Linked DNA regions of Rhinolophus ferrumequinum. The protein of the gene in region 2 purifies or fractionates together with the protein of the main gene of each other region. This does not show direct contact. Links are inferred from orthologs where the notes say so. Each region holds a gene or a part of one and is shown on either strand. Other genes may lie near its edges. The genes, in order: CCNB1 and CDC25A.

Region 1 (15,966 bases), on a different chromosome or scaffold from region 2:
AAACAAGCTATGCATTTGTGGCATGAAAGTCTTATTTTCACTTTTCTCTCCAACATCCTAGTGCCACTGATTGACTTACCATGTGCTTTGTAAGCCCACGATTCACCATGACAATATTCTTAGCCAGGTGTTGCATAACAAGAAGAAGGGATTCTTCAGTGTAAGACAGGTAATGCTGTAGAGTTGGCGTCTAAGAACAAGAGTTAATGTTAAAAATGCTCATCAACAATGGTTTTCATAAAGTTTCTAGATGTTATTCAAGAGTAGGGTAGGGAGATGGATACTGTATGATTGATTATTAATTGAAATTTAAGACAAGCTTATTCCCCAGGTGTTCTTTCATGCTTTTCTAGGCTCATGTGCTTAGATGTATTATATACTAATGTGCTCAAACCTATACACTTTTGTAATTACTGACTTGCCCACACCAAAGCTAGACTCCAAATTCCTTGAGGGCCACTTTCTCATTCAGAGGTTTATTCCTAGGGCCTAGGATAGTATATAGCACTTAGAAATATTTGTTGGATCAATGAATATGAATGAACTATTATGTCATCCGATCTGCCTGAAATTCTCTAAGGAGTAGCAGCTACTCTGCCTTTCTCAAAGGGATATAGAAAGATGAAATTAGGTAACGAAATGAAAGCGTTCCATGAAGACATCACAAAGTAGGTATCATTTTTTAATCACTCCCTCAGTGGATGTCATTTTTTGGAACCATTTGAATTGCTTTTAATGAAAACAGTTCTGTGTTCAGGCAAACACTATTTACAATGTAAACGCTTAGGGCAACTTAGGTTTGTGGGGCAGAGCTTACCCATTCACCATTATCAAGAATTTTCATTGCTAAACAAAAAGCTCCTGCTGCAATCTGAGAAGGAGGAAAGTGCACCATATCGTAGTCCAACATAGTTAGTTCCATCAGATATTTGGCCAAAGTATGTTGCTCCACATCAACCTGGAACAAAATTCACACAGGTCACTGAGCTTTTCTGTCTGAAAATTCTGCTTTGGCAATAACCAGCATGCCCATAACTATAACTAAAAATGTTTGTCTAAAAACTCTCAGGTGCAATTGCCCATGGAATGCCTTAATGATACTAATATACAGCCTGATTAGAAATAACTATTTATTTCTTCCCTGTGAAGTTAGGTATATAAGTCAGTTGAATTAGATCTGCTTGGTCAGCAGTATTCTCTATGGTACCATATCAGAGGTTTCTGAAGAAATCGATACCTCTCCAATCTTAGATGCTCTCCGAAGGAAATGCAGAGGTAGAGGGCGACCCAGACTAAAATTTAAAGCTCTTAGAATCTTCATTTCCATCTGTCTGATTTGGAGCTTAGTGTAAGTGTTGTCAGTCACAAAGGCAAAGTCCCCGATTTCTGGAGGGTACATTTCTTCATATTTGCTCGCAATAAACATGCCAGTGACACCAACCAGCTGCAACATCTTCTTGGGCACACAATTATTCTGCAATGGGAATTTCAACTGGTTGAATAAGTAATACATATTTGAAAAAGGAGACACAGAGCTGTGAAGGAAAAGTGAAAAAGACATATTCGCATAGCAAAGTCTCAGTGACACCCTATCCCCCCAAACAGATTTTAGTTGAAAAGGTCTGTATCTTATGACTCAGCTAGGACCCTGGAAGGGAGAATCCTCAATTACTGAATTATGCTCACCTGCATGAACCGATCAATAATGGAAACAGTCATGTACATGGTCTCCTGCAGTAACCTGAATTTCATTTGAACCTGCACTAGCCAATCAATTAGGATGGCTCTCATGTTTCCAGTGACTTCTCGACCCAGTAGGTATTTTGGTCTGACTGCTTGCTCTTCCTGCAAAAGAAATGCTGATTATCATTAGAAGCAAGTTTCCAATGTGACATTTCTGACCAGAAATAATAGTGACACAGAACAGCTCTGGAGCATTTAGAATATCTAATAGTCTTTTTTTTTAAAGATGCAAAGACCATGTTTTTTTTTTTTTTTTTTTTTTATTGGGGAAGGGGAACAGGACTTTATTGGGGAACAGTGTGTACTTCCAGGCCTGTTTTCTAGGTCAAGTTGTTGTCCTTTCAGTCTTAGTTGTGGAGGGCGCAGCTCAGCTCCAGGTCCAGTTGCCATTGCTAGTTGCAGGGGGCACAGCCCACCATCCCTTGCGGGAGTTGAACTGGCAACCTTGTGGTTGAGAGGACGTGCTCCAACCAACTGAGCCATCCGGGAGCTCAGCGGCAGCTCAGCTCAAGGTGCCGTGTTCAATCTTAGTTGCAGGGGGCAGAGCCCACCATCCCTTGAAGGAGTCGAGGAATCGAACTGGCAACCTTGTGGTTGAGAGCCCGTGCTCCAACCAACTGAGCCATCCGGGAGGCAGCTCAGCTCAAGGTGCCGTGTTCAATCTTAGTTGCAGGGGGCAGAGCCCACCATCCCTTGCGGGACTTGAGGAATTGAACTGGCAACCTTGTGCTTGAGAGCCCACTGGCCCATGTGGGAATCGAACCGGCAGCCTTCGGAGTTAGGAGCATGGAGCTCTAACCGCCTGAGCCACCGGGCCGGCCCTCTAATAGTCTTTTAACTCAATTATTCATATGGTCACTACAAACAGCTCTATCACTGAAGAAAGCACAAAAACATTAAGTAGGATAGTGTGACAGGTTTATCATATTGGCAGATCTTATAATCAATTCAGTATCACCGCTACTGATCCAGACCCTGTACCCACTTCTTCCCAAATAAAGAAATCACACTATCATCTCCCATCTTTTCACCTAAGTCTCTATATGCAGACCCAGAGCCTTACGAAGTAAAAAATAGAAGCAGCTCTCAGATCTGCTGGAACCCACGTGCTACCACTCTCCTTCTCCAAGACACCATAGTTAAGGAGGAGAACGAACCACCAAGGACCAGCACATATATCTGCTAAACCTACTCCTCTAAAGTTAGAACACAAACTTTCAAAAGAAGGGAGAAGAAACTCAAAGTAGGAGGTTGGTCCTGGCCAGGAAGTCTTGTAGGACAGTCCTGTAGAAAATGGAGATGCTCCACAGAAACAAGCAGGAGACTGAAGATGTTAATGATACCAAGAGAAGAAAATGCATTATAAAAAACTTTGTGAATCTGGTAACTGTATAGTTTATGTTGTTAGCATACAGAATACTTCCTTGTTTTGTGTTTTTTTGGTGGGGGAGAAATGCCATTAATAGAAAGTTTCAAAAGTGGGATGAAAGAAAACCAAAAAAAAAACTTCAGTTTTTGAGTGTACTCTTTGACACAACAATGTCCTTGCATGCATATCAGCCACATTGACCCCAAATGCCTTATATTGCGGATACTATTATTTTTCAAGCACATTCTTCTTTACCATGTACCTCCTGCCTGTTGTCCTCCTAAAACGCAGAATTTGGGACTTGTCTGCTTCTGTGATGGATATAAATATATCATTCAATCTGTGGACTTTCCTTCAGGAAGAGCCATGGTAGTATCCACTCTCACTGAAATTTCCCTGTTCATAATGGCAAAGATTTCATTGGTTTGTTTACTTACTTTTTATTTTTGGCATTCCACGAAGGAGAATTTGAAAATGGAACCTACTGTTAAGAAATGCTGCTCACATCCTGCTTGAATTATTGTAAATTATTAATGGAAAATTAATAAATTAATAAAATTAATAAATTAATAAAGCTAGATGCAGTTTAGAAAAAAACAGATTCTATTAGTTTGGTGCAAAAGTAATTGCGGTTTTTGCAAATATTTTTAACCTTTTAAACTGCAATTGCTTTTATACCAACCTAATAATACTGACCTCAAGTTGTCTCAGATAAGTATAGATGTCTTTCACATATTCACTGCAAAGGTTGGGATCGGCTCCATCTTCTGCGTCTACATCATTCACTGCAAGAAGTACATCAGAGAAAGCCTGACACAGATACTCTTCGGCAGGGGCACAGCCAGATGTTTCCATTGGGCTTGGAGAGGGAGTATCAACCTTAAAATAAAGAGACCTTCTGAAATAATAGCAAAGAAGAGCATACAATCTGGGAATAAAAGTCAGATCATTGGTACCAACTCAAGATACCATTTGTTGAATAGTCATAATTCATTCCCTGAAAGGAAAAGTATTTTCAGATTTATTCAGTTTCTCTTTAGAAAGTGATTAGTATGAAAATTGAAATGCCAACTTGACTGAGCCAATTTGAAGTCAGCAGAACCTAAACACTAACAGGTAAAACAGAGAAGCAAATAAATTCACATTTTGGACTTTCCTCCAAAGGAAACTGGTAAGTAATAAATCTGTTGATCAGTGTCATGTGAAGTTAATTCAAACAAATGGCAAGTCAGTCTTTGGTTTTCATTTCAAAACATGGACCGATTCTCACTGTTCAGGAGAACACAAGTTCTGTCCTAACTACTCATTATTAACTGACCTCATTAACCATTTCCTTCAAGCTCTAGTTACCCCATTTTTCATTTATTGAGCACTTTCAAGTCAAGCTCTGTCCTAGGCACTGATTTTTTTGATATCCTCAAGGGGCTTTGATTTTAGACGAGAAGTAAATGAGGTAAGGAGATTGATTCTAGGAACAAGGGTTAGGAGAAGTTAGGCAAAGTTTCAGGAGTTGATACTTGAGCTGTTTTGAAGGATGAAAAGGTTATTAGCTAAATGAAGAAAGTGGGAAAGACATTTTTAACTAGTGTGAAAGCAAAGACAAGAATCATTATGGGACTTGCAAGGAAACCTCAGGTAGTTTGGTATGGTCATTTAAAGACTTTGCATTGCACAGGTTTCATGTGCTATGTCCAGAAGGTCAGTACTAAAACAATGGCCTCAAATCTTTTACCCTTAGATATAAGGAGCCAGGCTGAATGACTTTTACAGATTTTCCCAAATGGTTTTATTAAGTTTTAAAAATCAGCTTCATAAGGCAGTTCATTCCAATTTCATCAAACCAGCCTCTTCTAAAGGGCCTGTTTTTCCTTCACAGTAGAAAAATTTACCTGGTATTTAATAGAAAGTTCTTGGTTTCTGAAGCTGTTCATTATCTTACCTGCTCTGAGGTGCTACATTTTCTTTCTGCTTTACACCTTTACATATTACAATGTTACAGGCTTACTAATTATTCAGTGGTCATATTAGTGAGTAAAAAGATTCAAGAGAACAATCTGTGTTTCAGTCAATAAATTCTGGTCAGAGATGACTTGTACCAAAAACAGCAAAATCTTCGATCAAGGCAACTACTACTCAATACCATACACGAGATTAAAAGCATAGGCTCCGAAGCCAGACAAGTCTGGGTTCGAATCCAGTATGTACCACCGATTAGATATGACTCCAGGAAATACGTAATACTTTTCTAAGCCATTATCTAAAAAGCAAGATACCAGCTAAGAAAATACAACATTATATGAGTTAATGCATTTAAAGTACATAGCAGAACACTCTATGTTACTATTATTTATTCAAATGCTATTTCATGCATTCAAGTAAAATGAGGGAAAAGAAACAATCAAGACTCTAAAATAAGTTTACCAAAATAGGCTCAGGCGAAAGTTTTTCTTCTTTAACGGGCTCAGGTTCTGGCTCTTGCGCCGGCTCCAGCACAGGCATGGGCTCGAGTCCCTTTTCCAGAGGTTTTGGTAGTTTTTTAGCAACAACTTTTCCAGCAGCTAAAGTTTTTGCTTCCTGTGGATGAATGGGAGAGAATGGAATGTTGCTCCATCCAAGGTCACAGTTGGATGGTGGACTTTTACAGATAAGTTGGATCAGGATAGTTACCTTTTTCAAAGGCAATTTGGACTGTGGCTGTTCACTGACTTTGTTACCGATGTCTCCAAGCGCCATTCTTGGCCTCAGCCCGGGCTTGGAGGCTGCAGCAGTGGCCACAGGCACGCGCTTTGCGCCTGCCATACTGATCTTCGCCTTATTTTCAGCATTAATTTTCGTGTTCTGAAAGAAGCAAGACCTCTTTGAGAGCTAGCCCAGCCAGGTTGCAGTAAGTCACAGGGGATTAATTAAGATGAGGCAAAAGAGAGGCTCTCGGGAGGGAAGTCGGCTGTAAATGAGTTACGAGGGGAAACCCGGTTCCAGGGTCTACGCTAAGACTGTGAAAAGTCAGTTTCCTCCTAGAACCTCTTCGCTCGCCTACGGTGGGATAGCACGTTTAGTCCCGACCGACACTAAAATACCCTTAATTTACATTTGAAAAGAAAAAAGGCCTCCAACTGCAGACACCTTCTTTCTCTCCAGAAAGGACCTTACGCAGGTGGTGGGAGCCCACAAAAGAGCCCTCCACGTTTTAGGAAAGATTTCCTGTTGACCCTCCATTTCCCCCCAAACAGGCCAACCCAGATCTCTTGGCCACCTACCCCACCATGCCAGGTGCCTACCGACAACCCTATGCTCCCCAAATCTCTGCCCTGGTCCCGCGGGGCTGGATGGCTCCGGCCAGCGAGATAGGGAGAGGATACACAGCGAGAAAGGCTGCGTTTGTTCACTGTCCGCAGCAGCTCACCCTGGTGACCCGGAACGCCATGGCTTCCTCTTCACCAGGCAGCAGCTCAGTGGGGAGAAGAGGAGAATGGGAGCCCCGGACGAGCCGGGGATCTGAAATCAACACAGATCAAAAACCGTTCCACCGCAGCACGCCGGGAGATGCAGGGCTCGGCCTCAGATTTAAACCCCGCACCGCTCCCTCCTTATTGGCCTGTTCGTGGCACTCGCTTCCTTCCTATTGGCGGCTGTCGGTTTCCCCAAGAACGCGTTTCTAGGGCGATCCCGCGGAGACGTACGAGAGGGGTGGGGCCAGAGAGAGGTTGCGGCCACGCCCTCACTTGGTTTGGCTTCGCGCCTGCGCTCTCGGGCATTTGCGGCTGCCACCTGGACCGGCGAGGTGTGGCGAACTGTGCGCTGCCGGATGTAGTCGAGGGGGATGGCCTTGTGCCCTGAGAGAAGTAACGGTGGAGCAGCCGCAGTTGGAGAAGCGTAAGCAGTTGTGGCTCTAGTCCTACTTATTGTTACACACTGTCTTCGTCTGCAGCGGTGTGTAGCTGAAAGGCTTTGATATATAATGTTTTATTTGATCTTTTCCAACAGCACTCTGGAGGAACCGAGGCCCAGAGAAGCTTTAGGTGATTTTCCCAGGATCACAAGTTAGTAACGTGGGGACTAAATGTAGGTAATTTCTTTTTTTTTGATTCATGATGTTTCTACAACCTAATTGATAAGAATATCGTCAGTTTCTTAATCTACCAGATTACTTCAAGTTATTTCCCCAAGCCAATGTTTTTATTTTAATTTTTTATTTGAGAATAATTTCAAACTTAGAAAACTTGCAGACAAAAATGTGATAAGGATTCAACTATCCTTAACATTTTACTCCATTTGCTTCATGATTTACTTTATATATGTATAAACTATGTATAAAATTATTTTTCCTGAAACACTTGAGGGTGTTTATATATATCATAACTTTTATCCTTCAGTTCTGCCGTATTTCCTAAGAAAAAGAATATTCTCTTACCTAACCACATACAGTTAATAACTTCAAAATGTACTTTATTGTTTTATTCAACCTGGTTTATATTCCATTTTGTCAGTTGACCTAATAATATCTTTTATAGCATTTTTTTCTCTGCTAGTACATGATCCAGTCTAGGGTCAGATGTTATATTTAGTTATCGTGTCTTTTTAGCCTCCTTTAATTTAGAGCAGTTCCTACAGCTTTTCTTTATCTTTTATAATATTGATGTTTTTGAAGAATACAGTACCCCCGCCACTTTTTTAAAAATAGAACTTTCTTATTTTTGTACTTGGTATTTTCTTGTGATTTAAATTGAGGTTGTTGCACAGGTGTATATGACTGTCAAAATCTTTATAATCTAACTTACACATTTTTAAGTATCTTCTAAAGTGTTTTTATAGTTTTCTAGTAATTATTTATGTAGGAGCTGCTATGTGCCAGGCACTATATTAAGCACTTTACATAATCATCTCATGCTTTTTTTCTTCTAGTACTCTGCTGTTATCACATATTAAGTTTGCTTTAACATCTATTTCAGTAATGCAGACTAAAATTTTTCAGGTACATATTGGTTCACTTTCTATGGCTACTTACCATTTGAATTTAAAGGCCAAACAGGTCTCCCCTTGCAACCAAGTACAGTACATAAATCTGTCAATATTAATATTCACAGTTATGGAAAGCTTGTTTAAGAAAATAATTGATTTAATAATTTTTTAAAACATTCAATAAATTCATTCATACTCTACGAAAATTGACACAGGTAACATCATGGTCTTAGGGGATCAACTGCAGACACGTGATGTTTGTCCGTCATAAATGAGATTAATTTTGGTCACTTGGTTAAGATGTTGCCTGATTTCTTCATTGTACGTTTACTTTTTTAAAAATTGCAACTAATATGTTGTCTGTGTGGAGATACTTTGAGACCATCAAATTTCTCCCTACGTTTCATATTCCCTCACAGCAGCACTTGGTTAGGAACTGTTGAAACTCTTGTTTCATTGCCATGAGTTGGTAAAAAACAAACTTTGAATGACCCTAGGATGCCAGACCTTTACCAGACTTAATTGACGACCCCTTCCTGACCATTGCCTAATGGAAATTCTTTTAACCCAGTAGTTCTCAATTGGAGGACATTTTATCCTACGGGGCATATTTGGCACTGTCTGGAGGCATTTTTGATTGTTACAACTGGGAGGGTGCTAGTGGCATCTAGTGGGTGAAGATCATAGAAGCTGCCAGACATCATACAATGCACAAGACAGCCCGCACTCCCCAAACACAGTCACAAAGAATTACCCAGCACAAAATGTCAGTAGTTCAATAGTGTGAAGCTTGAGAAATCTTGCCAACTATGTACAACTAATTTTTATTAAGAATGCTACCATGTTTCCCCAAAAATAAGACCAGATCTTATATTAATTTTTGCTCCAAAAGATGCATTAGGGCTTATGTTCAGGGGATATCATACTGAAAAATCATGCTAGGGCTTATTTTCCGGTTAGGTCTTACTTTTGGGGAAACATGGTAGTTATGCTTAATTAGCATAAGTACCATGGATCACCTCCTTTCTTTATAACACTTACAACCTTCTGACTTTTCTCCTCAGTGAACTACTCAGTGTTCTCTCTCCTGGCCAAGTTAATAGTGTCAACAATACACACCAGTCACTGATCTGGGTGCTAGGAATACAACTCTGAATAAAATGGATAAGATCCCTGCTTTCATAAAAGCTTATATTCCAGTAGAAGAGAGATGAAACAAGTAAATAACTAAATAAAGTGAAAAAAATCAGCTAGTACTAAGTGGTAGGCAGAGAATGAAAGGAAAGTGTTGCAAACAGTGTGACTTGGTAGCTACTCTGGAGGTGGTCAGGGACAGTCGAGAAAGTGATGTTTAAGCTGAGGCTTAAATGAAAAAAGCATTCCACATAGAGAAAATAGCCTGTGAAAGCTCAATGATAGGAATGATCTGTACAAATTGCCAGTTATAAAAAGTCATGGGGATGCAAAGTACAGCATAGGGAATGTAGTCAATATTTTGATAACTATGTATGGTATCATATGGGTACTAGACTTATTAAAAAAGACGTCTCCACTCCTTTTCAAGAAACTCTGTCTTCCCAAGCAACTATGTAGTAGGCAGAATAACAACCCCCCAAAGATGTCATTGCCCTAATGCCCAGACTTGTGAAGATGACTGTTACATGGTAAAAGGGACTTGGAAGACCTTGAGATAGGGAATTATCTTGGATTACCTGAGTGGGTCCAGTGTCACCACTTAAAAGAAGAGGAAGGCAGAAGAGGTGGTCAGAGAAAGATGCAACAGTGGAAGAAGGGGCAGGAGAGAGATGAGCAGGGGAAGCACATGACCCACTGTTGGCTTTGAAGATAGAGGGAGTCACAAGCCAAGGAATGCAAGTGGCCACTAGAAGCTGAGAAGACTAGCAAAGAAACTGAGACCTCAGTCCTACAAAGTCCTACAAACACTGAATTCAACCAACTTGAATGAGCAAGGAAATGGATTCTCCCCTAGAGCCTCCAGAAAAAAATGCAGCCCTGCAGCAACTTTGATTATAGCCCAGTGAGACCCATACTGGACTTCTGTAGAACTGTAAGAGAAGTTTGTATTCAACCACTAAGTTTGGGTTATTTGTTATGACAGCAATAGAAAATTAATACAAACCACTTTCTGTGCTCTATCACTATAGATTAGTCTTCTCTGTTCTTGGACTTCGTATACATGGAAACATACAGCATGTATCTGCCATGTTTCACTGAACTTGTTTTTGAGATTCACCTGTATTGTTTGTAACTAATTTTTTTAAACTGCTGAGTAGTTTAGTGAAATTCCATTATGAATACACCACAATTTATCGATTCTCCTGATGGATATTTGGGTTATTTCTGGTTTTTGGCTATCATGAATACATACATTCTTCTACAGGTCTTTTTGTGGACACACTTTTCCATTACCTTTGGGAGTGGAACTGCTGGGTCACAGGGTGGATATATGTTTAACTTTAAAAGAAATTGCCAAACAGTTCTCCAAAATGGCTGCATCATTTCACACTCCCACTAGCACTATGTTGAGTTTCAGTTACTCCGTATCATCACCACTTCACTGCACTGAGCACTTAAGATCTTCGTATTTTATTGTATGTTATGTATACCTCAATAAAAATATCACAAAAGAGGGTAAGTCTACACGCTGAGTTTCCCATTTTTACCGTGTGGACATCTCTACTGTAAAGATGGTCAATGTGCCTAAAACCCGAAGGACTTTCTGTAAGAAGTGTGGAAAGCATCAGCCTCACAAAGAGACCCAGTATAAGAAGGCGAAGGATTCCCTGTATGCCCAGGGAAAGAGGCGCTATGATCGGAAGCAGAGTGGCTATGGTGGGCAGACAAAGCCGATTTTCCGGAAGAAGGCTAAAACCACAAAGATTGTGCTGAGGCTTGAATGTGTTGAGCCTCACTGCAGATCCAAGAGGATGCTGGCCATTAAGAGATGCAAGCATTTTGAACTGGGAGGATATAAGAGAAAGGGCCAAGTGATCCAGTTCTAAGCTTTGGGTTTCTTATTTTTGAGAAAAAATGTTGAAGCTTTAGAAAAATACCTGTATGAAAATAAATGCAGTGATATTCTTACTCGTAAAAAAAAAAAAAAAAGTAACAGGACAATGTATGTGCACAACATATAACCATCTTTGACCATCTGTGTCAAACTGCTGTAGATAGAAGAAACAAGATGTAGAAAAAATTTGATTAAAAAAAATCCAACTTTACCCTTTTAGTTTTATTATACATTATTTACTAGAACACTTTCCTTTTGAAAAACCACTCTAAAATTGAAATAAACATTAGTGGTTTTATAATTGAACTCAGTTTGGCATCTATATATAATCTCTGCATAATTAACTTGCATACAAATTAAGGCCATAAGAAATGTTTGCCTTAAAATTTCTATTTGGGAGGCTAAACTGTGACAATCTATGAAGTGCAATTTAGCAATATTTTTTTAGATTTATAAATGTCCTAAACCCTTTGCTTCCAAAATTCTACTTGTCGGAATGTATTCTACATATTTATTTGCACATATGCAAAATGATGTTTGTACAAGGCTATTCGTGTCAGCATTGTCCATATAGCAAAAGATTTGAGCCAACCTAAAAAAATCCATCAGTAGAATTAGTATACAGCTAAGAAAAAGAATGAGGATGCTTTATAATGTTTCAACTATGGAATAATTTCTAAGTAAAAAATAATACATACATGTATTTGCTTGTATATTCATAAACTCTGGAATCTTGAAGAGTATACTGGAAACTGACAAGTGTGGTAATTTTTAGAGATCTGTGTATGATTGACAGGTTGGAGGGTTTTTGTCATTTACTCTTTTAAATTTTTTTTTTTAAACTTTTATATATTTTAAGTGTGTTTTTCCAGGACCCATCAGCTCCAAGTCAAGTAGTTGTTTCAATCTAGTTGTGCAGGGTGCAGCTCACCAGTGGTCCATGTGGGGATCGACCTGGCAACCTTGTTAAAAGCACCACGCTCTAACCAACTGAGCTAGCTGGCTGCCCCTAAATTTTTGACCATGTAACTATTAACTAGTAAACATGCATCTCTGAATTAATATTTTAGGGGAGAATCATAATCTAAATTTAAAGTAAAACCAGAATCCTTTATAGTTAGAGATATCTAATTATATATAGCTTTATTTTTGTGCTGAAATTAGAAAAGTTTAAAGTTTGATCAATTATCATGTAAAAGGAACAATATACCTATATTATAAAATATGTAAAGCTTATTCTAAGGGGAAATCATGAGCTCCTAAATTGGTAATAATGGAAAACAATGGTTGGAGAGAAAGGGAAGGAGAGAAACTAACAGGTGTGTTAAGCAACCACCACCACGCTTCTTGGGTCAAACTAGAAATAGGCTTGTTTTGGGTATTATTTTAAGTTTACTTATTCACTTAATATCTAATTAATCTCTTAGGTACTGATTTCAATAGAAAAAACCTCCGAAGTCAGGTTTAAAATAATAACAATTCTTTAACTTTATTTAACCCTTTTCAATTTTCATTTTCACATACATTATTCTTTTTGCTCCTCATAACTCTGTGAATTTGAGCATATTTTATTCTGACTTTATGTATGAAGAAAAAAAAGGATACCCAGAGAGGCTGATTTGCCTAAAGTCATGGTTTGTATGAGCTAGAACTAGTACCTTGGTGCTCTTCAATACTGGAGTTTCCCTACTTTCCACCTGCACCCCTTTAATGTTCAGCCCCTGCCTTTGCTCTCATCTTGGTTTCTCAGTCACATTAATTTTCCTGCTGTTTATATGCCTTCTAAGAGAAATGACAATTTTAATGATGGTGCAGTATTTATTGTGCCTACCAACTTAAAAATTTTTTCATGTATAAAAATTGCATTGAAAAATCAATATGCAATTATTTTCCCACCACTCAAAAATTTTAATGTGTATAGAAGATTCTGGACCAGATAGTGTGTAAAGAGAAGACAAGAAATATCAAAATAACTTATAATAAATTTCTAAACCTGTCACATAGTAAAATTAGTAAGACAAAAATATGATTTACAATACACATTTGCCATTATGGTATAGATAAAAAAATAGTACCCATACTAAAATTAATTCATCCTATTTATCAAAATTTCTAGTATAAGGATGAAAATATTCAGATTCTCGTAGAGATAAGTTTCTTTTGGACAACATTCTTTGGTTTTATAAAACTGCATATATTATCATATAACTATCATACAGTCTTTTGAGACAATACATTCAGTTTAAATTGGAAATTAAAAAATATAAATTAGATATTACTATAGAAAGTAGTTATAAGGTTAAGTATTTTGATTTCATGGTGCCCAAGTGTTTATGGATAAGCTTTACTTACTAAACCTCAAAATAACTACCTTTGAGATTTCTTATATATTTAGATGTTCCAGAAATTTAAAAAAAAATTACATTTATAGGCAGAAAATTCAATTAATTATTTGTGATTCTCTCAACTGGCTGTTCCACAACATACGGAGCTAAATGAAAAGATGAAAAGCCTAGCATTGCTTGGATACCAGCCTGATAGGCAACTAGGAATGCCAGATGCGTAATAAGAAATGGAATATTCTACTTTAGAGGCAGAAGACAAGTGAATGCATAACATGGACACAACTTAGTATAAGTTCTGTACCCTAATAAAGTAATTATTCATTTGCAAATATTATCAAAAGTAAAAAATTTATTTTACAGAGTGGTTGGTTTTTGTAATACATCAAAAATTGTAATGTTATACTTCCCTATTCTCATTGCTCATCTCATATCAGTGGTTGAAGTTGTTCCCAAATAATTTAGTTTACATTTCAAGTGGCAGTATAGATTTTACTTAATGGATTTAAGTTATAATTAGAAACCAGTTTTATATACAGAAAATCCATAAATATAGAACTTTTATTCCTATTTTATCCTAAGGCTATGCAAAAAATTGACTAAAAATTTTTCATTTGGGTCTTTGTAATAAACACGTAAATACATTATTTACAATGGAGATGCTTTCTGACAGAAAGTAAACACAGAAGTAATTTTGGTCTTCAGTCAATTCCATCATTATGTTCATTATCAAAGGTGATGTGACACATCATGTTCATTAAAATTTTACGATTCTTGTTATACACATAATGCAAATAATTATTTTACTTGAACAATTAATGCTTCATTCTGTATTTAAATTTCCTTTAAGAAAGATTCTTTGATCCAACAGTAGGAAGCTTTACACTTTTTTTCAAATATGGCAAATGTTTCTATACAATTATGTGCAATTTTCTTCCTTCGGTCAATATTATACATACTGAGTCATTTTAATCTTCATTGTTCACACACCAGGGGGAATTCCCGAGTTATCTCACATGATGTAAGTACCATCTCTGTAGTATTTCATGGACTCCATTTGTTTTGTCATAGCCAGGACATCATTAAATCCAGTACTCAGGCCAGACATATGTTGAAAGTATGCCTCTTTTTCGACTTGAATTGTTAAATTGTTTACTCCAGCATCTTTAAGTATTCCTGTAACCTGTTATAAAAATCCATATATTTTAAAGCATTTAGATTATGCATTTAATGCACATGTCTTAAATAATTGGTAACACATTTTTATAGCTAGAGAATCAAAGATAAATCCTCAAAATAATGTTTATTATTTATTTGGCAAATGTTAGATAGGATATTTTTAGAAGACCGGTAAATTCTGATCTCACATTCAAAGTATTAAAGGAAAATAGCTATTGTTTCCAATTATGTATATCTAGACGAGGGATACAGGAACTGTTTTGATCCTTATCTCCAACCATAGCATACCCCCTGCCAACTTTAGTATTATTAATTTAGGGCTACATTTATAATAACATTTCTCGATACTCTATTGTGAATGAAGGTGGATCATAAATGAATTTTTTTTACATTAACTTAAGCTTATCCTCTAAATACTAAAACTTGATTTTTATTTTAACCACTTCTGGATATAAAACAAATCTAGATGTAAAAAATAAGTTATATATCCTTAGCTGAAAGACTGATATTTTCAAGCAGTTAAATTACTATTGAGCTGTATAACTTTTATAATGTGTGTAATTTTATGCATGAATTACCTCAACTGAAATTACTGTAAAAACAAAAGATTATTACCTGCTGTACTATTCTTTGTTCCAGCACATCAGATGTCACCTGTATATGAATTGTTCCTGCCACAATACTGGCAGAATGACGCCAAAAATGAGGGTCTCGATATGATATTAATCCTTCAATTTTCTGTATCTGTCAAATAAAAGGAGAGGTGATATAAATGGACTTAAAGGCTATAATTTACTTAACACACGCAATCTTTTTGGTCCAGCAACCACTATTAAGCTGATTATTAAAAAAGTGATAATAAGGAGAGCCCAGAAGTGAGAAAAGTAGAGGAGGGGGACAATTAACCAAAGTAAAAAGGTGCCTAAAGTATTCTGACCTAGGAGTGATGCCAAGGAAGGCAGCTCTGAATAGGAAGTGAACGGGCTACAGGTGTCTCCATACTGAACAGGTGCACACCAGTTTTCACCTATATAAGATGTATTTTGTGTATTCTAAACAGTGGATACGTTTAAAGAACTACATGGTTTCCTTTATACACATATTTGCATATTGTTTGTTATATAGCGATTAACACATTCAAAACACATCCTCCCTGTTCAACAACTACGGGCTGGTTAAATAATAAACTATCACTAAAATGTATCACTACATAAAATGTATCACTACATTATCATTACAAATGTATTAGATTATCACATGACATAATGGGGGAAAATTTTAAAAGTGGCACAAAACAGGTTTTTATTTGCCATTTTCATTTTCAAAATATTTTTATATAGAAA
Region 2 (16,710 bases):
CTGTGTGAAGAGATCTTTACTCTCCTCAACTCCATGAGAGTGCAGGCAGCCACGAGACGCAGGTCTGATTGGCTTCTTAAACTCAAAGGCTTCCTGCAAGACAGTAGAGTCGAAACATCTTCCGCTGTCCATGGAAACCAGCGCTGGGGCCTCAGCTATAGCTTAGACGAGACAGACAAGGGAGCGGGCACTGAGCACCTTCGTCACTGCCTCCAAACTAAGGGTTTACCAACTTCTGATCTAACTCCAACACTGGATCTGTGTAACGAAGAATGTCAATGACTCTGTCAACAGCTAACGTCTAATACGGCACTTTTTCTCTCACCACGCTTTATTTCCTAACAAACACGTGAGTATCTGCCAAGTACACAAAACACTGAGTTATAAGCTGAATCAACAACTTTCTAAAACCTAAAGCAAAGTCCTTTCAATGACTGTGAATGGGAGCTAGAACTTTTCACTCTAGATTTGTTTGAGGACTTTATATTTTCTACCTTCTTCCTTCCAATAGATAATTTTTTTCCACTTAAAATTATTGTATTCCATACTAAAAGCAATAGGGAACAAAAAACTACTGGTTTACAACATGTACGAATCTCACATAACGCTGAGTGAAAGAAGTGAGGAGTGATAGAATACACACCGTATGATCCCATTTACTTAAAGTTTAAAAGCACTCATAATCCCCCTACCCTAAAATATCCACTTAAGAACTCGTTACTAAATGCTCAGAAAGCTTGTATATGTCAACACAGGACAGCACTTTCTGTGTATTGGCTCATTAACCATCAACTACAGCCTGATCAACCCCACTTTACAGAAGACAAAATTAGTCCTTACAGGTTAAGTAATTTCCCTAAGATCTGGCTTCACGGCCAGACAGGACGACTCCAGAGTGAAAGCTCGTTAACCTCTGCCGTTTCCCCTCCAGAACAAAGCTCCAAGCAGACAAGCCAAGTTTGGAGGGGTGGGGGGGTGGGAGTGGGGCTGGATCAGGCATGGGTACAGGTTTGGACTATTTGGTAGAAAGCGCTACACAGAGGCTGATGCAGCCTTCCAAGCACTCAAGGCAGGCACTCATTTCTATATCCTTCCTCAGGACACTGCACAAGTTGCTAGAGGAATCCTTGGGAGAGTTCGTGGAGGCAGCAGGTTTTATACTAAGTCTGGAAGATTGTAAGGATTGTGAACTATAGCATTTTATCAGGGAATGGAAAAGGGGAGAGAACAGATATGGAAATATAGTGAGAAAGAAGACTGGAAAAGTTGAGCTAATTCATTTAACTATCTTGATGCCTACTCTGTGCAAGGCACCCTGCCAGGTGTGAGAGAAAAGCCAGGCCAAGGCATTCTTGGACTTTTGGGTGGACAACCACAAGCTCCCGCTCTAAGCTACCATTTCAGTTACTTTGAAATTCCCTAAGACTTGTTAGCTCTGTTCTTTCAAATACTGTCAAGCAGCCTTTCCTAACTTACAACTCACCCCGGGTCAATGTAACAAGGCAAGGAGGGCCGGCCCGGTGGCTCAGGTGGTTGGAGCACCATGCTCCTAACGCCAGGTGGCCGTGCTCCTAACTTTGAAGTTGCGGGTTCGATTCCCACCTGAGCCAGGGAGCTGCGCCCTCTACAGCTAAGATTGTGAACAACAGCTCTCCCTGGAGCTGGGCTGCCGTGAGCTGCTGGAGGTTGGCATGGGCTGCGGTGGGCCGCCAGGAGTGGCAGACAGCATGAGCAGCCGTGGGCTGCTGTGTGCTGCCAAGAGCGGCCAGCAGCCAGCGAGAGCTGCTGTGAGGAGCGGACCGACGACGGGGGTGGGGGGGAGCACAAGGCTCCTAACACCAGCATGGGCCAGGAAGTTGTGTCCTACACAACTAGACTGAGAAACAACGGCTTGAACCGGAGTGTGTGTGTGTGGGGGGCGGGGGGGAGAAGAAGCGGGGAGAAAAAAAGGAAAGGAAGACCTGGGCAGAACCTTCCAGATAAACTGTTCATGGATATAATTACTCCTAAGAGCTACCACCTGTGCAACTCCTACCTGTCAGGAACCATTTGAAATGCTTTATCTGCGTTATCTCATTTAATTCCCACAACAGTTCTACAAAGTAGGGTTACTCCTATTTCATAAAGAAACAAAGAAACCTGAAAAAAGAACTCGCCAAGATCACACATCTAGAAAGCAGCAGGATTCAAATCCAAGTTTCTCTGACTCCAACGTTGATGAAAGTTTAGTCTCCCAGAAAGCAGCTCAGACACTTCTCTGTAAGCCAATGGCACTTGTGGGTTTTACCTCTGCCCTAGGTTAGTACAAACATGTTACACTCACGTTTTCCTTGTTCTCATCCTGGTCCATCAACTGAAAGACATCATGGTCAAGAGAATCAGAATGGCTCCTCTTCAGAGCTGGGCTACACCCCAAGAGCTTTTGCTATCAAAGTGAAAAAGGAATTAGGGTACATAAATAAAAATCCAATGGCAACTCAGTTCTCAAAAGCAAAAAAAAAAAAAAAAGAAAAAAAATGGCGGTTATAGGAAGGCCTAGCTCCTCACATACCACAGTACATGTGGCCAGGCCTCTACCTTGTCAGAACACAGGATATAAGTTCCCACTAGATGGGAATTTAACCCTGCAAGGTTGCCAACCCCCACATAACATCATTTGCATAAAAGAACCCCTCCTACTTTGATAAAACTCTGATAATTAGAGATGATGGGGAAAGCCCACAAGAGACAATTATTGAAGCTTTAGGAGTATTTGAGTGCTTATGAGTAAGGAAAAGCATTGTCTACATTAAGGTTTACCATCAAAGTCATGCTGGTATCTAATCGGCAAACAATAGGTATTACTTCAAATTAAACAAGGGAAATAACTTACAGGTAGGGAATTTATTCTCCTCATAGGATTTTCAAGGCTGCAATGAAATCAAAAGGTAAATGATGACAATAAAGCAAAGAGGTAGTCATATCAGAAGATGCAGTGTCTAACCTACAGTCTGGAGGGTAGTCAAACATTCCCATTTTAGGCAAGATGGAAGAACAGATTTCTGATGCTCTCCTGTTCTCACAAGCGCACCTAACACTGGGCTTCAAGGTGAAAAAAAACAAACCCAGGTCTTCTCTTAAAATATGCACATTCTCTTAAGGCTGTTAGAGTGGGGCCAGGGCTTGGTGAGACTCAAACAGAACTTCAAATTACAGCTGTAATAAAGGAAGGGAAGTTCTGAAAACTGCTGACACACACTACTGATTCTCGAAAGATACCAGACTGTTTATAGGATCCAGTTTTACTTGGGACAGCTAAATCCAGAGCGCCAGTCCAGAGCACAACAAATTGCATTCAAAAAATTAAAAAAGTTTTTTTCAAGCATATTTAAAAGCAGTGAGTACATACTTTTCTTTACTGTCCAAGGGCCCAGGAGAATCCAGACAGAAACCTGTGGGAAATAAAAATGTCTCTCAGGAAGTCCTACATGAAACACTACTTTGCTATTTAAATAAATAAAATTCCTAGCACTGTTTCTCTGAGCCGGTCAACAAAAACTCAAGGCTTGGACGGTTTGCCAGCATTGAAACTGAGTCTCTACTTGATCGTCAAAAACTTCATATTTGCACAAGTCTTAATATTTCATGTATAGCTACCAATCCCCCTTTCCTACTTGCCAATACCATCAAGGAAAACAGGATTTGAAGAGAGTAATTAATCCGAACCTTCTCAGGATTGTTTGGGTATTCAGGTAGAGGTTACCCAGTAACTTTCTTTGAGTTCCAACCATGGAAAGAAAATTCTGGTAGGGCCAGTTTTCTGAAATAGTTTTGATTTCAAATAGTTTATCTTGTCAGATCATATGCATAACTTGGGGATGTAGGAAATACAATTATGTCATGACAAGCAAGGCAAGTATTTGTTGCCTTCAACAAAATAACACCAAGTGAGGTGCCCATCTCCCGAAAGGTAGCAGGTGGAGGAGACACTGCTCAGCGCCACCCAGACTCACCAGAGCCAGACGAGCGCACACCTTTCCTCCCTGATGTCTAGATAGCCTGACGAGGAAGTTAGCTGTTAACTCCTGACTAATGTTCTCCCTTGCCACAATGCCACATAAAGTTCCTAGGTGAAAGCACATTTCCTCCAATGCCAAGGACTGCTCCCCACCCAGCAGACACACGATAAATGTGGAGGATTTAAAACAATACCTGAATCGGTTGACTCAGAGGAGCCCATTCTCTGCAAACTGTTGTTTCTCACCTCCAGTGGCTGTTCATACTCACTAAAACCAAAAGAAACAATTCTCTCTGGATTTCTAGGATATAACTAAAAGGTTACATACAGGACACAGGCCATGAGGTTAGCAAGTGGCCAGGCTACCATCAACTATCATTACTTCTAGACCACACCACACAACACTTTGCCACCCAGAACACCCAGGTAGCTAGCACTTAAGCATAAAAGATGAGAAAGGAGTGGGTGGGTAGGCCTGGCCTGGGTCACATTGTAGGGTAGGATGACTATGATGAATGTTGGTGTATTTCCTAAAATGAGAGCATGTGCTCTAGGTACTGTGCTGGGAGAAGGGATGAAAAATAGGACAAGTTCCTGCTTCTAAGAGGTTGCAAAACCCACACATGTGCTCACTTAGGATATGAGATGTCCAAGATTGAAGAGAAAGCAGCTTCACCACAAACACTGTGGGATTTCTTTTTTTTTTTCTATAAAGAGAAGTCCAGAGAGCTTTTGAGTACGGAAAGTTGAGTAAAAAGGCCTGGCTTTAGGAATGCATGGGGTGGACATCAGGAAGGTGCAGGGAGGTCGAGGGATTGCGATGATTTTGCACAAAGCCCAGGATAGAAAATGCCACGTCCCTTTGTTGAGAAGGAACAAAGCTCACAGGAAACTAAGATCCGGGCGAAGTAATTCAGCAAAGGGGGAAGTGAGAGCCTAGGAGGGCCTGCTTTTCCCGCGTGGGGGTAGATTTCAAAGAGCTTCCTGGGACAGCGACAGAAGAAGAGTACAGGGCGATCCGAAAGGGGTGGCTAAGGTGGGGAGCTGGGGCCGCCCCCATACCCTAGCAGGCCTGGCTCGGGACTGAGGATGGCCCTGGAGGGTCCGAACGGCCTCTCCCGCCCAACATTCCGCCTGGGGGGAGGGTGCACATGGTGAGCCCCCGCCAGACGGGGCCGTCCCCAAGTGGCGAAGAGGTCTGGCCCTTCTCCAGGCCTGATCACCCCAAGAACGGTCTGGGAGGTCAGCGGTCTGCGGCACCGCTCATCTGTCCCTCCTCACCTGCCCAGCCCCTGCAGCTGATCCATGGTGACCGTCAGGTTGGTGACAGGCGACAGGCCTCCGGCGGCTGTAGCGCCAAACAGCGCTTTCACGACGGGCTGTGGCGTGGGAGGGGGGCTGCAGGCGAAGAGCAGGCGGCGGCGGTGCGGGGGCTCCGGGCCCAGTTCCATGGCTGCGCCAGGCCTCCCAGGGCTCCCGCTCTCTCTTTCTCCGCCTCCGCCGCGCCCGCCCCGCCCCGCCGGCACTGGCCTCGGCCGCGCGCCCCGCCGCCGACGTCCGCGGGTCAAACACAAACACGACCCCGCGGTTCAGGGACGCGGCTGCCGCGGGCAAGCTGCGCGGACGGGCGGGTGTCCGGACCCGGCAGGCGCCAGCCACATACACGGGTGCTTCCCTCTCACCCCGCGAGGCCAGCGGGCAGGCGGGCGACCGCAACCTGAAGATTAAATCCAAACAAACGCGGCAGGTCGGGAAGGGAGAGCCGAGAGGCAACGGCCCGGGCTCACACTCTCTTCGCTTCTCTCTCACTCCCTTGCCCAACCCAGGATCTCAAAGAACCAAGCCGACTTTCACCTCCCGGCTGAGCTGTCTCTGCCAGGAGAAGGCCTTTCGCGGTAATAGCTGCTCACTGGAGACCGCCGCTGCCCCGCCCCCCTTTCCTAGTTGGCGCCAAACGGAATCCACCAATCAATAAGAAACTTCTCCTCCTTGCTCCCGAATGGCAGCTAGGCTGGACCAATAAGAGTGGGAAGGAGGAAGCAGCTCGTGGGACTCTGCGAAGTCATCCGCTTTCCGAAAGGGGCGGGGACTAAGGGAGACCCGAGCTGATCCGAGGGAGATGGGGCTCAGAGGTCAATGAAAACTCCCAGGAGGACCTGCGAGACGCGGGTCGAGACCCAAAGGCCGCTCTTACCGGTTGCATGCTGGGAAGCGTAGTTCCCACCCCGCGCGGCAAGCCATTCACCTACCCTCGTTGGGCTACGGCTGCATCGCACCCCCACCCCCACCCCGCCTGGCCCCCCCCACACGCTGAGAGAATGTGGAGGCTGGAGAAGGCTGTCGGGCCACAGGGAGGCCAGGCCGAGCCCAGCCTTGGCTCGACCTATAACCTTGCAGTGTTGTGGGCCTCTCTCTTCCGCCCTGGGCGTCCACGCCCCAATTTTATAACGAGGAAGGGAACTGAATGACCCGAGTACTGGGCGCTGCCCCGCCCCCAACGCCAGGTCCCAATTCCAAAGCGCTAACGCTCATGTCAAGCCGGCCATTGAAGACCCTAAGGGCTGTGCTGGCCTCGAACTGCTGACCGCACAAGACTTGAAGTCTACGGGCCTGGGCTGTGGGGCTCAGCATTCTTTGCTCAACTGCATTTTAGCTCTTACTATATTTTCTGAGAATCATTTCCTTCTCTCCCACCCTTTTCTTAACCGAGGAGCTCCTAGATAGCAATACCATGTATTTAATAATAGCGAAGACTTATATAGTGCTTATATGCCAGACACTGTTCCAAGTGCTTTATTCATTTATTCCTTAAAACTACTATGAAAGAGGAATTATCCCCATTTTGTAAGTGACCATAATTACTTTTCTATCTCCTGTACCAGTGACGGCTCCTACAATGACTGATTTTATAAGAGGTGTATAGGTACAGCAATCAGGCTGCAAGAGGACTTGTCTTCAGACAGCATGTTTAGAGAAAAAAACTAGATTGTGTATTTACTTTAGGTGTCTGGTGATTATGACCACTACCTCTGTTTAGGGGCTACCATTAAATTCATTAAATTTAACGTTTCTTTCAAAAGCTTTTGCTTTCAAAGGTTTGTATTATACAAATAATGCAAAATAATTATAGCCTTAGAAAGCATATATATATATACATATATACACATATGTATATATATACATTTAGAGATAAGTATAATTTTAAAAATCATCTGTAATTCTACCATCTTCAAAGAAAAAACTGTCAACATTTTGAACTTTTTATATGTGTATGCATTGTAAATATGCAATCAATATTTGTGTCATGGTTAAAGGAATGGAAAGTCCTCCCTTCTTGCCTGAGCAGACATTCCCTGAGTGGGATGACCCAAGGGGATTAACATACCAAAGCATTTCCACCAGTAGGTCCAAATATTGGAATACAAACTTGGTGTCAGAAATGTCAGAGAACCATTGTTTGTTTGTTTTTTCCTTTTTAAAGGTTGAAATGTTGAGTGTGATTTTTTATTATGTTTGGGGCCATCTTCAATTGTGAAATGGCGTGAAAGGAAAAGCATAACTTAACTAAACCCTTTTCCCGATTCACTTAGGCAAACTCTCACTAAGGGAAGGGAAGAGTCTTGCACTGTGAATTGGAAGGTCTGAGTTCTAATTGCTTCCGCCTTGGGGCAAGTCAATTTTTGCCCATTCATTCATTCATTCATTCTCCACTGCGAGCCAACCAGTTTGCTAGATCCAAACAGTCAATACTTCTTTGGAGAATGCCGGGCCATCCTCCTCACCCCGATACCCACTTCACTCAGCTAACAAGGAAAGTTCTACCCTCAGACACCCTAACTGATACATTCTCCTGTTATTATCCACCTTTCAGGCACCCCATGTTTACTTTTGTTTCTGTGATTATTTAATCGGGGTGAGTCAGCCCGAATGACTATGAACTCAAAAGGATAAGGACCCTGCCTTTCCTTTTCTCTAGTATCACCCAGTGCCTGGTTAGGAGACCCCTCAGTACAAATAGATTGAATACGTGCTGCAGAGAAAAAGTGGAAATTCTTTGAGAGTGTTTAGGAAGGGAATCTGATAAGGAATCCCTGAGGAAGTGACCAGTAGGGAAGTCCTAAGGATGTGGAAGAGAGTGCCCTGGGCATAGGGATTTGCCCTAAACAAAGCCTCTGAGGCTGGAAGGAGTCCCGTGTGTGGCAGAGAACAAGCAGTAGAGGAGGTTGGGGAGACCCAGAATCTGCGGGACTTTGGAGACGGCATTCTGGAACTTGAACTTTATCTCAAGGACAATGGGAAACAATGGCAAGGTTTACATTTACATATTTAAAAGATAACCCTGGCTCCAGAGCGGAAAGTTGATTAGAGAGTGACAAGGGTGGCACTGGCATGCCAGTTTGAAAGGGATCCTACAAGATCCTACTATGAGATGGTGGCCAGTTGAAGATGACGCAGAGGAGAAAAGCAGGCGTCTCTTTCCACTTGTGAGTGGTGACAGAGGTGGACTGCAGCTGTGTTTTTCAGTGAGGTACCCCAGCAGAGCTCCTGGCTGTTCCCTGCCACTCCCTGATAACCATAAAAACTTGGCTTTTAAGTCTACATTATGTATTGGAGTGCCCTGTATATTTTGTTTGAAGAAGGGATTCCCCTTGTTAAAAACAAAAGCAAAAAAACCCCAAAAAACCCAAACTTTCCCATTAATTTATAAGACTGATTTATTTTCTGTAGAAAAAGAAACATCTCTTTTTTTATTTAATGTTTTACATGTGCCCATTTTCCTTTCAAAACAATGGCTGACAGGCTGAAGATTAAAACCTTTGGCTCAGAACACTAATTCCTTCACAGTGAGGCAGGAACACTGCTTCACCTCCGTTTTCCCCCACAAGCACTCAAGCTCCAGCCGTGACCACCCCGCCCCTCCAGAAGCCTCAGGCTGTTTAATCCTCTCAGTTGTCACAGTTCCCACGGTCTGCGGAGCCTACCCTCACTGTGTGCACTATTTGAAATACTTTCCTCCATTAAACCTCTGAAAAATTTCTCTCCTATCTCCTTCTGTTTTGTGAACTTTAGTATTTGGCTCCATATCACTGTTCTTGCATTCATTCATTCAGCAAATGTTTATTCATTGTGCACTGAGACAAACCCAGTGCTTGAAATAAAAGCCCACAATTCCTACCCCGAAGGCTCACATCTGCCAAATACTATCTCACAGAACATTCCTTATAATAATGGAACCATCACTGTGATAATTGCTGTGATAATTTGTGGAGGGTTGGTGGAACCTGGAGGAGGGGAAGGGGGTGGAGATGGGAAAGGCTGGAGGGGTGGGAGAGGGGCGACTTCCCAAGGGAGATTAAAGCTGCTGAAGCTTGAAGGCTTAGGTTGCGGGGAAAAGAGGAATTTGAGGCGAGTGAGGTGGGGCGCTTTCTTCCAAAAGAGCCCTCAGAAGTCAGATAGCGAGCAGAGCATGTTCTGGGAATGACTTCTCAGTCCCAGGAATGGGCACATGCAGCGGTTGTGAGGGACCCAACTGGAAAGGAGGGATAACTCTTGAAGGACTTAGAGGCTACTGAGGGGTTCAGCCTCATCCTGTGGAGGGTGAGGAGGGTGGGTGATACAGGATCAGAATTGCCGCAGGGTGGATCAATGAGGGTGAGTGGGGAAGCCTGAGGAACAAGGAGGGGGCTAGCCAAAGAGTCCTGGGTGAGAAAACTTGAGCTGAGATGGAGGGCCTCAGCAACAGAGAAAGGGAGGGAGCTCGGGAGTCAGAAAGGAGGAGGAGCTCAGTGGAGTTTGATGATTGAGAGTTGCAGGGGGGAAGGGGAGGGAGCAGTCAGAAGGGTTCCTATGACTTAAGCATCTGGGTTGGCAGTACCATTATTTCAACAACAGGCAGCATAGTTCTTGGAGGAATTTGATGAACTCAGTTTTGTGTTTGTGTACTGTCTGGGATTGGCAAAAAGATCTGGGCTTCGTTAGCCTGAGGATGGTCATGTCCACTGAGGATATGCAAAGAGTGTTTTAGGAGACTGCATCTGGGGAGCACCTGAAGCCTGGATGTAGCAAGAGGGGCCCATGAAGGTGGTGCTGGGGAAAGAACCAAAGGGAGGGAGTAGCCAATCCATGATCCAGAAGTGCACGGAAGGTGGCCAAATGGAAGTCCTGTGGGTGGGAAAGGTGGGAGGTGAGGAAGTAGCCATAGGAAAGCTTGGCACAGAAGGTACAGTACCGTTCCGATTCATGCACGAACCAAAAAGCACGTAGATGAACGTCCATAGCCACATTATTCATTTTAGCCCCAAGCAGAGAACAGCTCAAATGCCAATCAACAATAGAATGGGTAAATAGAGGTTCTTTAGGAAAGAACTACCCACACTCCTCACAATCGATGAGGAACATAAGCCCAAAACAGAAGAGGACATGCTATTTAATTCCATTGACATAAAGTTTTAAAAAATAGGAAGTCCTGCTTTTTTATCCTTGGAGATAGAAATTAGGGTACTGGTTATCTTTGGGGTGGGTGGTGACTGGAAGAGGACCTGAGGAAGACTTTTGGGAACTTGCCACATTTTTTCTTGATCTGGGTACTGGTTATGTGAATGTGTTCACTCTGGAAATTCACTGAGCTACACACTCATGATTTGCTTGCTTTTCTGTATGAATGGTATACTTCAATGACATGTTTGTTAATAGTAAAAATTTCCCTTGACCCCACTTGACCCTCCAGCTGTACTCCTTCCCTTCACAGTAAACAAAAGAGTTGTCTCTAATGTCTCTCCTCCCATTTTTCTCTTGAACCCACTGCAATCAGACATTCAACCTCCCTACTCCACAGAAATGGCCTTTGGCAAGTTCTCCAGGGACCTTCATTTCGCTGAATCCAGTGTCCAAATCGCTCACCTTGTCTTCCTCTGCTCAGCAGCCACCCATGACAGCACTGGATACAGTTGATCACTCCCTTCTAGAAACATTTGCTTCACAGAGCTTTCAGGACACCATTCTCCAGATTTCCCCCCTCTCTCCAGTTGCTCCTTAAAAAAGATGCTATAGAGAGGTTATGATCGAGGAAATTATTTGGCCCCCCAAGGGTGGCAACCAGGCATAGGGGTAAAGAACCTCCTTGGACCTCTTGGATAAGCTCTTCTGGGGCATCACGACCTGTTGCCCAGCAGCAGCATAGAGCCTGGTTCTTAGTGATAAAGAAAAATGTTTGTGGAGTGAATGAAGACGAAGAATTTGAATGTTATCCTGAAGTCAGAGGCTTACAAGGGCCTCTGAGAACCCATCTTTCCTCCTCCTCTTCCTCATGGAAGATGGACTGGATTTATGGTTTTGGGGTGGTGAGGCAGGTCCCGAGGGTCCCTTTTCTCTCCTGAAAAGACTGAGGATTTTTCGGCTACTTTTCCCCTTGGTGGGCATTGGCGCAGCACCAGAGGTGGCCGCCAGAGGGCACTTGTCTCCCAGGAGAATATTCTAGAAAGAACCGAGGCGAGTTGGGAGGAAAGACAGCTGTAATAAGAGGGACTTGGACCGGAAGCTAAGCACATGTGAAAAACTGAATGCGTGGCAATTGTTGGGGATCTATTTCCAAGGCCTTTTGCAGCGTGCAACGTGCTCAGGGCCAGGAACCCCAACCCTTTGTTTTTAGCCTCTGCCGGTCCTTTATCTTACGTGTCAGCTTCTTGACCACTATGGGTCTGTTTTACCCCTCAGGAAAATGGGAGGAATGACCCCTGATCAGTCTACCACCTAGAGGTGTTAGCAAGAGAGAACAAACCACGTAGTGTAAATACTTTTTGGGAGTTGAAATAACTGTACTGAAGAAATGCAAAGGATTGCTGATCCTCGCTGTCCCCCACCCTCGTCCTATGCTAATGTGACACTGTTGAGTGTGTGACACTGCAGTCATGTACACCACTGCAAGTGAGTTCCCAGCACTGGGCATTCTGGGAGAGGTGATTCCCCAGCAGTAGAGGTGATGAAGCCCGAGTTAGGTCAGAGACAGCAGAGGGCAGAGAAAGCCACAGGCAATAGAGAGCCTCAGTAGGTTCTGGAGCAGGGGGGACGGAGGGCTTCATCTCAAAGGGTCAAGTTTACTTATGAGGTTTCCTGGGGTCCTCCTCTGGAAGTCAGAGGTCCTAGGGAGCAGCTGAGCTCTTTTTAACAGCTTACACCTGAGTGCTGTGGCCCCCACAGAATGTACTAGGAGAAGAGGAAACACAGTGTTGGAGGCTGGAGACCAGCAAGCTGGACTTGTGGTATCATTGCCCTGTCCCAGTATTTCTCAATCCTGGGCCTCTGGGAGGTGAAATTGTTCCTGGGGTTGCCTCCCATCCTGGTTGAGTTAGAGCCTCTTGCACCATCCTGCTGTTAGCTGGTTGACAAATGCCCACGTTAGGCAAGGTGGTGTGTTGGGGGGGATGGCGGGTGGGGAGAAGGGGTCGTGGTTTTCCGGACTTGTTCCTTTCCAGCCCTGAGCAATAGCTGCCCTAGAGGGAGTTGGGTGGGAGTGGACCCATTCCAATCCTTTGAGCCTAAAATCCAGGCTCCAAGGCATGCCCCAGGCCTTCTGGGATGTCTATGTGTTCTGTGAAAAGAGAGGTAAATCCCAGAAGTAACCACTTAGTCTGATGCAGCCCCCACCTTCGTTTTATAGATGAGGAAACGGAAACAGAGAGGGGAAAGGCTTACCCCTGACCCAAGCTGGGTCTTAGCACAGCCTGGACCTCTCTTCTCTGGGCACACTCAGAGGGCCCCCCAGTGGGCTAGGAGGGAGCAGCCGCAGGGCTCCTTTTCCTCACCTTTATGCCCAAGGCCCAGTTCATGTAAGCTTGGGCTCTGCTGTCACAGAGTGTTGGGGAGAAGGAACAATGCTCCTTCTTGGAAAGATAGGCCCACATATTGCCAGCACTTACCCCCTCACTCTGCAACCTTGAAAACTGAGGTATAAGTTATCTACCATAAAATTCACAATTTTCAGTGTAATGACATGAATTGTGACAAATGTATACAATTGTGTACCCACCACCACAATCAAGATGTAGAACATTTTCATCGCCCCAAAACATTCCCTCATGCCCCTTTGTGGTCAATCTCATCTTCCTAACATTGGCCACTGGCAGCCACTGGTCTACTTCCTCTCACTATAGGTTTGCCTTTTCTGGAAATTTCACATAAACAGAACCATACAATACGTGATCTTTTGCATCTGGCCTCTTTCACCTAGCATCATGGTTATGAGGTTCATTCAAGATGTGTACTCGTATGTTGGCAGTTCGTTCCTTTTTACTAGTGAGAAGCCTTCCAGTAACTTGTGTGGATGTCCCACAATTTGAGGAGCCTGCTGATCGACGTTTGAGTTGTTCCTGGTTTTTGACTATTATGAATAAAGTTGCTATGCACATTCTCGTACAAGTTTTTTGTGTGAAGCTTTCCTTTCTTGACGATAAGCACTTAGGAATGGAATTTCTGGGTTATATGATAAATGTCAGAGCTTACTCTTTTCAAAATGATTCCTTGTTGTCCTTCTGCCATTATCTCTTGGATGGGGGAGGAGGGAAGGACTGGTGGGGATGAAAGGGTGAGCTGAGGCCAGGAGAGCCTGAGGATAACCGGGGCCTCAGCCTTACATGTCTGTCTCCTAGTAGCTTGGTGTCTTAGGCAAGTTGCTTTGTCTGCTCTGGGCCAGCCTCAGTTTACTGATCTGTGAAATGGCAATAGCACCACAATCCTCCCTGCCTATCCCAGAGGATGTTCTCTGGATCAAAGGAGATGGGCAAGAGCCATTTTTGGGAGCTGCACTCTGAGGGGTGGAGCAGAACTCCGGTGGGACTTGTGATACAGAGCATGGCCTTGGGAGAAAGGCCTCCCTCTGAGAGCGCCATTCTCTCTCAAGTCGATGTGGACATGGCAACAGCCCACTTCTGCCAATCTTGAGAGTTTCCTTTTGGCCCTGAGCTGTGTGGGGAAAGGCTAACTTGTTTTGGGTTGTCAAAGGCCATCCATTTGCCTAAACACTTGAAATATGAAGCTATAAAGGAGGAGGAAATTTTTGCAAGGAGGCCATGGAAGAAAGAGTCTCCACCACTGTCCTGCACATATGTGGCTACTTAAGTTTAAAGTGATGAAAATTAAATTAAATGAAGAAAGCAGTTCCTCAGTTATACTAGCCTCATTTCAAGTGCTCAGTAGCCATGTGTGGTTAGTGGTTACCATATTGGACAGCACAGATATAGAACATTTCCTTCATCACAGAAAGTTCTATTGGACAGCCTGATTGAGACCCCGAACCCTTCCCTCTGGGAGGGTCAGTATTGTTAGACTATCTCTGGTGGACTGAGGCAGGCCCCACAGAGGTCCGCTGGCTTACAGAAAAGGATCCCAGCAGCTCCAGTGGACTGAGCTCCTGGTGAGAGAGCTGGCTGCACAGGGAGCCTGCTGTTGGATGGTGGGGCTGGCCCCTGAGATGGACAGCCAGATGGTGAGGGCCCTGCAAAGGTAGAGGGGTGGGGTCCAGCCCTGGCTGTCAGAGGGGCTGTGGAGGGAGGTGAGGCTTTGAAGTACAGAACATAATGGGGAAGAACATTCTGGCTCAATCAGACTAGTAAGGGAAACAGAGTGAAATTGGGAAAGGTGGGAGCCCCAGGTTGTGAAGGAGGTGGTGGCAAGACTCTTGTGCCAGCCTTTGCAGGACCGTCTGCTCCCATCTCTTGAGCTTGTCTACCCTCTTTGTTGGGTTAGATGTGGGCGTAGGGAAAGTGCCCAGGGTCCAGCCTGAGTGTCTCCTGCCCATTCCTGACCTGGCTTCTCTTTTGCTCTCCCTTTTGCCTCCCCCTCTTTCTTTCTCTTTCCACACAAAAACCCAGCAGGCCAGTCCAAGTGGACCAGTTCTACAGCTTGCTCTCCTGTTCTCCTATTGAGCTTCTCAGTTATGCTTGAGGCAATTTGAGTTGGATTCGTACTCTCCTGATGCTAAGAGCGGTTACCAGAGCAGAAGTTTTCAAAGGAAGCCACAGCTAGTGAGAGGCAAACCAGTGATTCAAATACATGCCTGCCTCAGACCACAGAGTCTGAGGTCCTGACCAGCCCTGGGGGGGCAGCTTCCCACCCTCTTGATAATAACAGCTGCTGTTTATGAAGCATCAATTATGGGCCAGCCCATTTCTCAAGTCTTTTACCGTCTTACTCCTTTATCAGACCTCATCCTTTATCTGCCACCTGAGAGGCTGTGCTTTCCAAAGCCAATTTTACAGAGAGGGAATGGGAGGCACAGAGAGGTTTGGTAGCTTCTTGCCCAAAAATACACAGCAGGTAAGTGGCAGAGTGAGGACCTGAACTTGGGCACTCTGGCTCCACTGTCCGTGCTCTTTACCACTCTATGGCATGGCCTTCATCAGAATTGCTTCCTCAGCACCTGTCCCATCTGTCCCCACCCTGCAGGAACAGAAGACTCATTTTCTTGAGGAGTCTTCCCAGTTTCTCTTCAGGGAACAGTGTCTAGATCCCCCGCTCAGTTGTGGAAAAGCTGAGAGGGCACTTTGGGAACCTGGGGTGCTGATGTCTTCCCTGACTCAGCTGCCGGTGCGCCCTCTGTGGGGTGGGCCCGGGAGAGTCCTGAGTGTCCCTTACTGAGCTCACAGGACTGGGTGCCCATCTATCCACCCCACACTGAGTGGCTGTGTGGTACAGGGCCCACCCCACGCTGGGGCACAGAACGAACAGGTCTCACCCCTTAGAGGCACACAGCCTGGAGGAAGACAGACAAGCAAGTGGACGTGGCCCCTATGTCAGCTGGGTCTCCCAGCCCCAGCCTCAAACCCTTTCTTTCTTACCTCAGTTCCCCTCATTCTTCTCTGCCCTCCTCAACTTCTCAGGAGCAAGTCTAAGTCTCCTTTTGACTTCTTATTTACCATTATCAGCTTTCTGAACATTTCCCCAGGATTCCCGAGAGGAATTCTGTACTTGTTGTCTGGATCCCAACATTTTCACACCATCATGAATCCCACAGAGACTCCACTGTGGGGCAACGTGCTGAAAGAGAACCTCAGGCAGGGAGGCCAGTCAGGGCGGGCGTTCCTGAGGAGGGGAAGCCTGTGCTGAAGGAGCGGCTCCAGAAGGCTGGGCAAGGGTGTTCCAGCTCCAGCCCAGGAAAGCGGCCTGTTTTTGTGGGGGGCCCCACGGTGCCAGTGAGGCTCGAAGGGTGCTGGGTCTGGACAGGAGGCCAGAGGCCAGATCACAAAGCTCCAGACTGCCCCCTAGGGCCGGATGGCTGGGGGTGCTGTGGAAAGAGCGCTGGCTTGGGAATTCGGCCCCAGCAGGGCCACTTCCACGATCTGCAGCCTTGCTAAACTAAGCCCCTTTCTCCCTTGCTCTCTGGGGCTTCACTTAGCCCTTCTGAGTAATGGGGAGCTGCAATAGTCGGTGCGGTTACACACTTGTATGTGTGTGTTTCTAGCTCTTCTTTATTTCCTAAAGAAGATTTTACGGAACCGGTAAATCAGTCATAAGCGCATGTTTAATTTCCCAGGCAATTTAAATCTCCACTTGAGGAACTCCTGAAGCAACTGTCCTCCTGCCATGGCTGTGGGGCCAGCGGTGGCAGGGCCAGCTTTGTGAGTGTGCCACCACTGCAGTCACACAGGGCACTCGTGCTTAGAAGGGCTCTGTACTTGGTTTAATGCTCCATTCTCGAGGTCTTAAAATTCTAAAAAAAA

Evidence for each region.
Region 1: the proteins of CDC25A (region 2) and CCNB1 purify together in Homo sapiens (affinity purification with mass spectrometry; 3 studies listed by BioGRID, with this or other methods). This does not show direct contact. The link is inferred for Rhinolophus ferrumequinum from reciprocal best matches to the Homo sapiens genes CDC25A and CCNB1.

Annotation. Positions count from the first base shown.
Region 1 is NC_046290.1:44,711,711-44,727,676, reverse strand, and holds the start of CCNB1 (G2/mitotic-specific cyclin-B1), read right to left. Parts: upstream 6,681-15,966; 5' UTR 6,537-6,680; coding exon 6,516-6,536; intron 5,951-6,515; coding exon 5,780-5,950; intron 5,687-5,779; coding exon 5,534-5,686; intron 3,992-5,533; coding exon 3,809-3,991; intron 1,846-3,808; coding exon 1,687-1,845; intron 1,475-1,686; coding exon 1,238-1,474; intron 959-1,237; coding exon 818-958; intron 191-817; coding exon 80-190; intron 1-79. Other genes in the region: 60S ribosomal protein L36a-like, read left to right, coding at 10,780-11,094; proton-coupled zinc antiporter SLC30A5, read right to left, coding at 14,457-14,627, 15,239-15,367. UniProt on the Homo sapiens protein: Essential for the control of the cell cycle at the G2/M (mitosis) transition.
Region 2 is NC_046300.1:7,782,499-7,799,208, reverse strand, and holds the start of CDC25A (M-phase inducer phosphatase 1), read right to left. Parts: upstream 6,165-16,710; 5' UTR 5,449-6,164; coding exon 5,279-5,448; intron 4,266-5,278; coding exon 4,192-4,265; intron 3,432-4,191; coding exon 3,389-3,431; intron 2,910-3,388; coding exon 2,873-2,909; intron 2,426-2,872; coding exon 2,324-2,425; intron 94-2,323; coding exon 1-93. UniProt on the Homo sapiens protein: Tyrosine protein phosphatase which functions as a dosage-dependent inducer of mitotic progression. Directly dephosphorylates CDK1 and stimulates its kinase activity. Also dephosphorylates CDK2 in complex with cyclin-E, in vitro.